Macaca mulatta: one gene and its partners. The protein of the gene in region 1 purifies or fractionates together with the protein of each later gene. This does not show direct contact. Links are inferred from orthologs where the notes say so. Each region holds a gene or a part of one and is shown in the gene's direction. Other genes may lie near its edges.

Evidence for each region.
Region 2: the proteins of ING4 (region 1) and MEAF6 purify together in Homo sapiens (affinity purification with mass spectrometry; 5 studies listed by BioGRID and IntAct, counting the BioPlex papers as one, with this or other methods). This does not show direct contact. The link is inferred for Macaca mulatta from reciprocal best matches to the Homo sapiens genes ING4 and MEAF6.
Region 3: the proteins of ING4 (region 1) and BRD1 purify together in Homo sapiens (affinity purification with mass spectrometry; 5 studies listed by BioGRID and IntAct, with this or other methods). This does not show direct contact. The link is inferred for Macaca mulatta from reciprocal best matches to the Homo sapiens genes ING4 and BRD1.

Annotation. Positions count from the first base shown.
Region 1 is NC_133416.1:7,617,076-7,621,164, reverse strand, and holds the start of ING4 (inhibitor of growth protein 4), read left to right. Parts: upstream 1-1,221; 5' UTR 1,222-1,239; coding exon 1,240-1,276; exon of another isoform or gene 1,277-1,293; intron 1,294-4,089.
Region 2 is NC_133406.1:203,295,393-203,299,038, forward strand, and holds part of MEAF6 (chromatin modification-related protein MEAF6), read left to right. Parts: intron 1-3,179; coding exon 3,180-3,372; intron 3,373-3,646.
Region 3 is NC_133415.1:1,669,030-1,672,675, forward strand, and holds part of BRD1 (bromodomain-containing protein 1), read left to right. Parts: intron 1-294; coding exon 295-422; intron 423-1,294; coding exon 1,295-1,404; intron 1,405-1,629; coding exon 1,630-1,784; intron 1,785-2,968; coding exon 2,969-3,152; 3' UTR 3,153-3,646. UniProt on the Homo sapiens protein: Scaffold subunit of various histone acetyltransferase (HAT) complexes, such as the MOZ/MORF and HBO1 complexes, that acts as a regulator of hematopoiesis.

The DNA of each region.
Region 1 (4,089 bases):
TTTCAAGACCAGCCTGACCAACATGGAGAAACCCCGTCTCTACTAAAAATACAAAATTAGCCAGGCGTGATGGTGCATGCCTGTAATCCCAGCTACACGGGAGGCTGAGGCAGGAGAATCACTTGAACCTGGGAGGTGGAGGTTGTGGAGAGATGGCTCCATGATCACGCTATTGCACTCCAGCCTGGGCAACAAGAGTGAAAATTCTGTCTCAAAAAAAAAAAGTAGCAAGAGGGCAACGTCAGAAGTAATATTTTGGCCGGGCGCGGTGGCTCAAGCCTGTAATCCCAGCACTTTGGGAGGCCCAGATGGGCGGATCACGAGGTCAGGAGATCAAGACCATCCTGGCTAACACGGTGAAACCCCGTCTCTACTAAAAATACAAAAAAACTAGCCGGGCGAGGTGGCGGGCGCCTGTAGTCCCAGCTACTCGGGAGGCTGAGGCAGGAGAATGGCGTAAACCCGGGAGGCGGAGCTTGCAGTGAGCTGAGATCCGGCCACTGCACTCCAGCCTGGGCGACAGAGCGAGACTCCGTCTCAAAAAAAAAAAAAAAAAAAAAAAGAAGTAATATTTTATATGTGAAAGTATTCGAGTATAAAGTACAGGAGGTCGACAAAAGATGTGCAGAATTATAGCATTATTGTCATTATTTGTATTTATAAGTAGAAAGTTGATAATCCTTCTCAAGCTTAAAAAATAATGCTGGGGGAGATGGTGTTTGTGTGAGTGAAAAGAAATGCAAAGGGTTTAAATCTCTCAAGGCTTGATACTCTTCCCCAACTTCCTTAAGAAACTAACTGGCTTGAAAAAAGTCATATTCTGCAAAGAGGGAAAAAAAGCTGTATCTTCCAGTCGCTGAGAAGGGATGTTTACGCAATATAAGCCTAAAGTGAACAGTTACCCCTGCACCGATTGCTATACATTCCCGTTTTGGAGGGAAAAAAGTTTGCCCGATAATGCAAAATGGCGATCTTCAGTGACGTCATACCTGTCTCGGTCGCGTCCTGGGGTCTCTGTAAGGGCGGAAGCGGGCTACAGCTGCCTCACTATGGGCGGTCGTGGCTACCATGCAAAAGGAAAAGTTAGAGCGTCGGGCGGATGTGTACCGGCGGTAACATAGTAAGGGCGGAAGTTCTCCTTTTAAGGGCGGAAAGGCTTTAGCCCCAAAATGGCTTCGGACCCTGTCGCGTTATAGTCACTTCCGGGGCGGATCGGAAGTTGCTTTGTTTTGCTTCGAGATGGCTGCGGGGATGTATTTGGAACATTATCTGGACAGTAAGAGCAGGCTGGAGGTGGGGGTCGGGGCTGTAGAGTGGTGCGGGGATCAGGGATGAGAGGATCTGTAGCCCTTAAGTCTCAATGACGAGAAGGTTACAATTGTGAGGGGGTTCTGTGGCAGGAAATATTGGAGGGTGCGGAGAAAGAGGGGGCGGGGCAGCAGGATCGAGGCCCCGCTGTTGGGGGTAGAGGAGGGAGGGGCTGCGGTGTGGGGGTTAGGGACGTGTCTTGAAGGGCTAGTGTGCACGGCCGGGAAGATAATTGCTGCCCCCATTCTCCAGCGTCTCCAGCCTCTGGGTAGATTTTTTTCCTATAGTCGTTCAGAATCGTTATCACCCACTGTCATTTGGAGCAGCGGTGAAGACCCCTCCTCCACCCCATTCTTCCTCAGAAGTGGCTTCTCGTGGGGTTGAGAGTGGTGGTGGTGAGAGTGGTGGTGGTGAGAGTGGTGGTGGTGAGAGTGGTGGTGGTGAGAGTGGTGGGGTTGAGAGTGGTGGGGTTGAGAGTGGTGGTGGTGAGAGTGGTGGGGTTGAGAGTGGTGGTGGTGAGAGTGGTGGTGGTGAGAGTGGTGGTGGTGAGGGTGGGGTTGAGAGTGGTGGTGGTGAGAGTGGTGGTGGTGAGAGTGGTGGTGGTGAGAGTGGTGGGGTTGAGAGTGGTGGGATTGAGAGTGGTGGTGGTGAGAGTGGTGGTGGTGAGAGTGGTGGGGTTGAGAGTGGTGGTGGTGAGAGTGGTGGTGGTGAGTGACCACTGTCAGATGATGAGCTGGAACGCTTCTCTTCATGGAGTAAAGATCTAATTCCCATCAAATGAAAATCTGGTGTTATGCCATTTATGTAAACCACCCCTGCACAAAGCCTGTCGCCCTATGCGCTTACATTTGTTTTAGGGCCCGGAGTCATTTATTCAACAAATATTTATTGAGTTCCTACTATGGGTCAGACATAATGGCAGGCACTAGGGATAGAAAAATGGGTAAGACAAGGCCCCTGCCCTCAAGAAACTCTCGATCTAGAAGGAAACAGATTCTGCAAGTAATTGTAAAACACTGTGACAAGTGAAATAATGGAAATCCATTAAAAAGGACATTTGGTAGGCAACACTGCAGAAAAGGGGGGTAATTACCTGGCGATGTAGGAAAAGCTTTACAGAGGAGGTGACGTTTGAATAGGGTCTTGAAGGTTGTTTGCCAGTGAGGAGAGAAAAAGGGAATTCTAGGTTGGGGAAAGTGTCTGCAAAGGTACTGTGATAGGTTTGTGGCAAAGTCAAGGGTGTTTGATATTTATGACTCAGAGGTCAGCGTATTTAATATTTATGACTCTAAGGTAAGAAATTGAGAAACGAGACTGGAGAAAGAAGCTGAGGCTAGATTGGACAGTCTTTTAAGCCAAACTAAGAAGTTTGCATTTTAAAGTACAATGTGATTTTTATAAACGAAAATGACTAATATATGGTAAATTGAAGCATGCTATCACTGATAACAGAGATCAATTAGTGATAACATTCCAGGACAGAGATAAGAACCTGATTTTAGGGAGTTATGGAAGTATTTAGGAGTTAAATATGAAAGGACTGCCGGGCGCGGTGGCTCAAGCCTGTAATCCCAGCACTTTGGGAGGCTGAGACGGGCGGATCACAAGGTCAGGAGATCGAGACCATCCTGGCTAACACGGTGAAACCCCGTCTCTACTAAAAAATACAAAAAACTAGCCGGGCGAGGTGGCGGGCGCCTGTGGTCCCAGCTACTCCGGAGGCTGAGGCAGGAGAATGGCGTAAACCCGGGAGGCGGAGCTTGCAGTGAGCTGAGATCCGGCCACTGCACTCCAGCCTGGGCGGCAGAGCGAGACTCAGTCTCAAAAAAAAAAAAAAAAAAAAAAGAAAGGACTGACTGACTGGGTGGTTGAGAGAGAAGGAAGAATCTCAGGTGGCTTCTTCCTGCTTAGAAAGTGAGGTAGACAGGCTGGGCACAGAATCTTATGCTTGTAATCCCAGCACTTTGGGAGGCCAAGGTGGGCAGATCACTTGAGGTCAGGAGTTTGAAACCAGCCTGGCCAACATGGTGAAACCAGTCTCTATTTAAAAAAAAAAAAAAATTTATCTGGGCATGGTAGCATGTGACTCTAATCCCAGCTACTTGGGAGGCTGAGTCAGGAGAATCACTTGAACCCAGGAGGTGAAGATTGCAGTGAGCCAAGATCATACCACTGCACTCCAGCCTGGGCGACAGAGAGAGACTCTGTGTCCCTCTTAAAAAAAAAAAAAAAAAAAAAAAAACTTGTGGCCAGGCCAGGTGGCTCACGCCTGTAATCCCAGCACTTTGGGAGGCCGAGGCGGGCAGATCACGAGGTCAGGAGATCGAGACCAGCCTGGCTAACACAGTGAAACCCGTCTCTACTAAAAATACAAAAAAATTAGCTGGGCGTGGTGACGGGCACCTGTAGTCCCAGCTACTCAGGAGGCTGAGGCAGGAGAATCGCTTGAACCTGGGAGGCGGAGGTTACAGTGAGCCACTGCATTCCAGCCTGAGCAACAGAGTGAGACTCCGTCTCAAAACAAAAACAAAAAGGCTGGGAGTGGTGGCTCACGCCTGTAATCCTAGCACATTGGGAGGCTGAGATGAGTGGATCACCTGAGGTCAGGAGTTCAAGACCAGCCTGGCTAACATGGTGAAACCGTCTTTACTAAAAATACAAAAATTAGCTGGGCATGTTGGCAGGTGCCTGTAATCCCAGCTACTTGGGAGGCTGGGGCACAAGAATCCTTTGAACCCGAGATTGTGCCATTGCACTCCAGCCTGGGTGACAAGAGCGACA
Region 2 (3,646 bases), on another chromosome or scaffold:
AAAATCTCTTCCTAGCAGATTATAATGTAAAGACCATAGGAAGAAGAAAACTGGGCCAGATGTGGTGGCTCACACCTATAATCCCAGAACTTTGGGAACCTGAGGCTGGCGGATCACTTGAAGTCAGGAGTTTGAGACCAGCCTGGCCAACATTTCAAAACCCCGTCTTTGCTAAAAAGACAAAAGTGAGCCGGGCATGGTGGTGGGTTCCTATAATCCCAGCTACTCAGAAGGCTGAGGCAGGGGAACCATTTGAACTGGGAAGGTGGAGATGGCAGTGAGCTGAGATCGCGCCACTGCACTCCAGCCTGGGTGCAACACAGCGAGACTGTGTCTCAAAAAAAAGAAAACTGGTCCCTTGGTTCTGCTACCACATGACCTTTTTTGGCAAGTTTTAGAAATTGATAATGTGTGTGTATATATGTGTGTGTGTGTGTATGTGTGTGTATATATATATATACATTTTTTTTGTTTTTTGTTTTTTGAGACGGAGTCTTGCTTTTGCTGCCCATGCTGGAGTGCAGTGGCGCCATCTTGGCTCACTGCAACCTCCACCTCCTGGGTTCAAGTGATTCTCCTGTCTCAGCCTCCCGAGTAGCTGAGATTATAGGTGCCCACCACCACGCCTGGCTAATTTTTTGTATTTTTAGTAGAGGTGGGGTTTCACCATGTTGGCCAGGCTGGTCTTGAACTCCTGACCTCAGGTGATCCAGCTGCCTCGGTCTTCCAGAGTGCTGGGATTACAGACATGAGCCACCGTGCTCGGCCAGGTAATGTATATATTTAGGATCCTTCAACAGTTGAGTAAAGTGAAAGTCTTCCCTCACTCATCCTCACCTATTAAGATTTTAAAGAAATTCCTTTCAGGAAAAACAAGTATATATATAAATGAAATACAAATATAACTGTATTAGTCTGTTTTCACACTGCTCTAAAGAAATAGCTGAGACTGGGTAATTTATAAAGGAAAGATGTTTAATTGACCCACAGTTCTACATGGCTGGGGAGGCCTCAGGAAACTTACCATCATGGTGGAAGGCGAAGGGGAAGCAAGCACCTTCTTCACAAGGCAGTAGGAGAGAGAATGCGCATGAAGGAGGAGCCTCTAAACATTTTTAAAACCATCAGTTCTTGTGAGAACTCCCTCACTATCACAGGAATAGCATGGGGAAAACCAACTCATGATCCAGTCACCTCCCACCAAGTCTCTCCCTCAACATGTGGGGATTACAATTTGAGATGAGATTTAGGTGGGGACACAGAGCCAAACCATACTGATAACTATATATATATATATTTTTTGAGATGGAGTCTTGCTCTGTCACCCAGAGCAACATTGCAGTGGCACAATCTCGGCTCATGCAATCTCTGCTTCCCGGGTTCAAGCAATTCTCTCTGCCTCAGCCTCCTGAATAGCTGGGACGACAGGTGCCTGCCACCACACCTGGTTAATTTTTGTGTTAGTAGAGATGGGGTTTTGCTATGCTGACCAGGCTGGTCTTGAACTCCTGACCTCAGGTGATCCACCCACCTCGGCCTCCCAAAGTGCTGGGATTACGGGCATGAGCCACTGCATGCAGCATTTTTGTTTTTATTTTTTTTTAAGAGACAGAGTCTTGCTCTGTTGCCCAGGCTAGAGTGCATTGCAGTGGTAAGATCGTAGCTCACTGCAGGCTCAAACTCACGGGCACCTCAGCCTCCTGAATAGCTGAGACTACAGATATGTGCTGCCATGTCTGGCTAATTTTTAATTTTTGTTTTTATAGAGATGAGAGTCTGGCTGTGTTGTCTAAACTGGTCTTGAACACTTGGCCTCAAGCCATCCGCCTGCTTCAGCCTCCCAGAGCACTGGGATTACAGGCATGAGATACTGTGCCTGATCTATAAATATATATATATTTATACAAGTTGTTATTGAGCTTGCTTTTATTTATTTAATATAATCTACAGTGATGTTTTAAAATTGAGGACATGTGTCAGCTGAATATTACTGCATTTTAAAAATATTCTTGGCAGAGTATGTGGCTCATGCCTGTAATCTCAGCAGTTTGGGAGGTTGAAGCAGGAGGATTGCTTGAGCCCAGGAGTTCGAGACCAGCCTGGGCAACATAGTGAGACTCCATCTTAAAACAAATAAAATTATCCAAGTGTGGTGGCATGTGCCAGTAGTTCCAGCTACTGGGGAGGCTGAGATGGGAGGATAATTTGAACCCAGGAGTTTGAGGCTGCCATGAGCTGTGATCACACCAGTTCATACCAGTGCACTCTAGCCTAGGTGACAGAGTGAGACCTTGTCTCAAAATACAATAAAATAAAATAAAACTTAGCAGGGCTGGGTGTAGTGGCTCATGCCTGTAATGTCAGCACTTTGGAAGGCAGATCTCTTGAGCCCAGGAGTGCAAGACCAGCCTGGGCAACATGGTGAAACCCCATCTCTGCAAAAAATAGAAAAATTAGCTGGGCTTATGCATATGGGCACCTGCAGTCCCAGCTATGTGGGAGGCTGAGGTATAAAGATCACCTGAGCCCAGGAAGTAAAGGCTGCTGTGAACGGAAATTCCGCCACTGCACTCCAGCCTAGGTGACAGAGTGAGACCCTATCTCAAAAAAAAAAAAAAAAAAAAAAAAAAAGACTTATCAGGTTCAAGTTCAACAGATCTTAAAGGTTAAACAAACAAAAAACAAAATGGAAAACTTAGAGTAATTCAGGAATGGGCTGTCTTCTGCCTCTTTGGCCTTTTTTTTTTTTTTTTTTTTAATAAAAAGACAGGATCCCCGTATGGTTTGGGGAAGAAACCAGGGCCAGCTATAGGCACTTTTTCCAAGATCATCCCTCACTTCCCTGGAGTCCTATCTGATGCTTTATGTATAATTATTAATCCCATTAGTGTATTCTGTGGTTAAATAACCTTTATGCAGTGAGGTTATCCTGGCTGTATGTTCCTGTCTCCCAACTGCCCTTAGAGATGTTGTCTCTGGTTACATTGTTTCAGATTACATGCTTTTTCAGGACCTGTGGTAACTTTGATCCTTTGTGTGTCTCTTCTCTGTCAACATGTATCTTCTCTGTCAATTAGAGGATGGGGAATGGTTTTTTCCTATTAGTGTTCATGTTGATGGACGGATTGCCTGAGGAGTACTGATGATGCATTTGGAAACTTGTGTTTTATTTCCTCCAGGGGAGCCAGGAAGTGGGACGGAAAGTGACACTTCTCCAGACTTCCACAATCAGGAAAACGAGCCCAGCCAGGAGGACCCTGAGGATCTGGATGGATCTGTGCAGGGAGTGAAACCTCAGAAGGCTGCTTCCTCTACTTCCTCAGGGAGTCACCACAGCAGCCATAAAAAGCGAAAGAATAAAAACCGGCACAGGTCAGTGGCAGGAATCCCACCCCCTGCAGCTCCCATGACCATTGCTGTGAAGGGAATTGCCTAGAATAAAAACTCTTTAGGATTGTTGCAGACCCTTTCTGTTGCTGATGGCAAGAAAGTGCTTAGGTCCAAGTGAATGGGCTAATTTGCTCAAAGGGAGGAATTGGTGGGCATTAGAGTAACGTTCAAGGAAGACTCCCGGGCATCCTTCTCACTGTTTCTAGTGTAGAATAGTTTTATTCCATAAAAACCTTGTTTCATATGGTGAATATGG
Region 3 (3,646 bases), on another chromosome or scaffold:
AAACACTACGTGAAATAGGAACGCAATTTTAGAAACTGCAATTAAGTTTATACTTGATCTTTTCCTCCCAGAATCTGGCAGTGAGCACAGCCCTGCCTGTCTCATTGGCCTCCTGAGTACCCCCTGCCACAGGCTCACTCCCTCCAGACCTGTGCACCCACAGGCCTGCCTGGCTGCAGGGGTGTCAGGCAGGACGCGTGGCCGGCTTGGTGGCGGGCAGCCCACGGGACGAAACCTGAGTGAGGCTGAAGCCAGGGGTGGGACACCTGACTCCCTCTGCTCTTCCTCCCGAAGCTTTAGTGTGCCCAAATGTGGGCGGGGCAAACCGGCTCTTGTGCGAAGGCACACGCTGGAGGACCGCAGTGAGCTGATCTCCTGCATCGAGAATGGGAACTACGCCAAGGCGGCCAGGATCGCAGCCGGTGAGTCGCCCGGACCTGCGTCCGTGGCTCTCCACACCTCCCGGTTAGCGTCTTAGGGCTCGACTGCTGGGGACTGGACTCTGGCTCAGGGAGCACGGTGCCCTGTGTGGAGCCCCACCCTGGCCAACCTCCTGGGGAGGGGTTCATCATACACCGAGGGGCTCTGGGCTGCAGCCCTGCTGGGGTGCCTGTGGAGGTGGCGCCTCCTCCATCCTGCCTTCGTTTCCCTGTGGAACGTCCAGCTCTGTGTGGCTCCTGGCTGCCGGGCACTGTCAAGGCTGTCTGGGGTTGTTGAGGTTCAGTGGTCATTTGTGGCTGCACAGGGGACTGACTGCAGAGGGTGTGCCCCCAGCTTCAGGCTCCTGGGAGAGGGGGAGGCCCTGGGGTTTGGGGTTGGCACGGCCCTCACTGTGGAAGGCAGCCATGCTGTGAGGGGGCATCAGGACGGAGACCCCCCCGGTGGGAGGGACAGCAGGGAGCTGGTCTGGCGGAGGGGGAGCCAGGACTTTGGTTTCGGATTTGGGGTGTCAGCTGCATAAATGAGGCAGGAGCACGCTGGGAGCCCCGTCCTTGGGGCAAGGAGGTCTCAGAAGGGACTGTGCTGGGCACCTGGAGTCAGAGCCTTCCAGCCCGGAGGGCAGAAAATTCTCTGGGTCCGGGGGAGGCTGGTGGGTCCCCAGGTGGGCTGCAGGGACGGGGGGGGATGCAGGGGCCTGGACTCCACAAGAGAGGCAGTGGTGCTGCTGGGGGTGGGTGAGAAAGGCCTGGGAACTGGGCTGTGCTCCGGAGACCCCACCCTGTTGCTGTGTACCTTTTGTTGGGGGGCGGGGCACGCCCCTTCTGTCCTGCTGACGCCGTGCCTCTCTCCGCAGAAGTTGGCCAGAACAGCATGTGGATCTCCACCGATGCTGCCGCCTCAGTGCTGGAGCCCCTGAAGGTGGTGTGGGCCAAGTGCAGCGGCTACCCCTCCTACCCGGCACTGGTGAGTATGGCTCTCGTGGTGCCCAGGGCCCCAGCACCTGTGGGTCCCAAGGAGGCTCACACAGCTGGGGGGTGGGGGTGGTCCGAGGAGGCTCACACAGCTGGGGGGTGGGGATGGTCCGAGGAGGCTCACACAGCTGGGGGGGGGTGGGGGTGGTGCGGTGACAGGTGCAGTCGTCTGTGGGTGTGAGCCTCACAGTGACCTCAGTGGGTCCTTCTCGTGCAGATCATTGACCCGAAGATGCCGCGCGTGCCTGGCCACCACAATGGTGTCACCATCCCGGCCCCACCCCTAGACGTGCTGAAGATTGGGGAGCACATGCAGACCAAGTCCGACGAGAAGCTGTTCCTCGTTCTCTTTTTTGATAATAAGAGAAGTTGGTGAGTCAAGAGGCCTTAGACTCCGGGGACCGGCTGGGGTGGTTGTGTGGGGGCCGTGGGCTTGGTGACCCGAGTGTCCCTGTGGTGAGCAGCCTCTTTATCTGCTGGGCCCTGGCAGAGCTAAAGTTGGAGGTGGGTGCTCTGCTGTTTGCCTGGTGGAGAAGGGCACTGCCCAGCACCCCTGCTGGGACTGTGGGATGGGCACTGAGCACAGGGTCTGTCTCTGTCTGATGGCTTTGTTTCCCTCTCACCTGAGCCCATTGGCCCGGGCTATCTCTTCTCTGTTCCTTACCCGTGTCGGCTATAGTGTTGGGGGTCCCACTGCTGGGCTCCTGGACCCCTGTGCTGCAGGACACGGCCCCCGCCTGGGCCTGGCCTCTGGCCCTGTGCTTAGAGCCTTCCGTCCTGGCGTCACCCAGCTCTGCTCAGACGTCTACCCCATCACAGGAGGCTCCCCCTGTGCCCTGGGCTGCTTTTTCGCACAGTGCCTGGGACTCTGATGTGCCAGGGTTCAGACCCCAAGGCGCCTCTGTGTGGGACGCGCTGGCAGCACATGCCTCTGGGAAGAGATGTAGCCCCAGCTGTGCCCTGCGCACGTGGCCCAGGCAGGTGCTTCCTGGTTCCCCGTGGAGCTGGCTGCTCTGGGGACCTGGCGCAGAGGCTCAGGGCCACCTGCGTATGGTGTGCCTGGAGCATGGCTGGCAACACAGGCATCCCTACCGTCTTTCTCTTCATTGCCCCGACCTCTGCCTCTTTGGCCACACGGCCGTTGCTCCTTGTCAGGCCCTGAGCGAGGCCCACACCTTGTCCATCCGAGGGCCCCTTTGATGGGGTCTCCCCAACCGCCGGCCCCTGCTCCGGGGCCCACCCTGGCTCTGGGCTTCGTGTGTGCATGTCTTGTCACTCGGCAGGCACTGGGAACGTTTTGGAGGTGGAGGAGGGAGGTGATGGTTTTTCTGCCTTACTTAGCTCCCCATATCCCCAAGCCAGGGAGGGGAAGGGAGGGGAAGGGAGGGGTGCACCCCTGGCCTCGGGCCTGTCCCTACACAGGGCCCAGCTGTCTTGGTGGTGCTGAGCAGGGTCCCTTTCTATCAGAGGGCAGTGGATGTGTTAGATGATTACATGGAGCACGTTGAAGCACCACATGCAAGCAATGATTTCCCCATGTTTTTCCTTTTAAAAAGGCAGTGGCTTCCTAAGTCCAAAATGGTTCCCCTTGGTATCGACGAAACTATAGACAAGTTAAAGATGATGGAAGGGAGGAACTCCAGCATCCGGAAGGCCGTGCGGATCGCTTTTGACCGCGCTATGAACCACCTGAGCCGCGTCCACGGGGAGCCAACCAGCGACCTCAGTGACATTGACTGATGGCCCGGCTGCCAGCGCGGGTCTTGTCCATAGTGTTGATAAGCTGTACATGTTTGTATATTGTTCAAAACTTAACTTATTCTGGTTTTTAGTTGTAGCTCTTTAATTCTTTTTCCCCAGGGAGGGGGAGGTTTTATTTCCACGTTTTCTAGGAACCCATCTCCGTCTGGGCGCTGTGAGTGGGGTGGGCGCGTCTGGGCAGCGCAGTGCGTCTGTCACACGACCCCGGGCCGTGCTGCTGGCGTCACTGTCTTTGACATGTAGCTTTTTCTTAAAGACTTTTGAATGTTTAATAATTTTGTAAATCATCCTCTTTACACAGAGTACCACTTATTTAATAAGACGGGATGTAAATTTACAATGACAAATGTGTATTTTAAGAAAGAAAAGGACATTATTTTGAATGGTACTTTGTGGAAAGGGGAGAATAAAGTTATGCTGTGCACATCACTTGCAGATCACCAAAAACGCCCGCTGCCCGCGCCCGCCGTCCC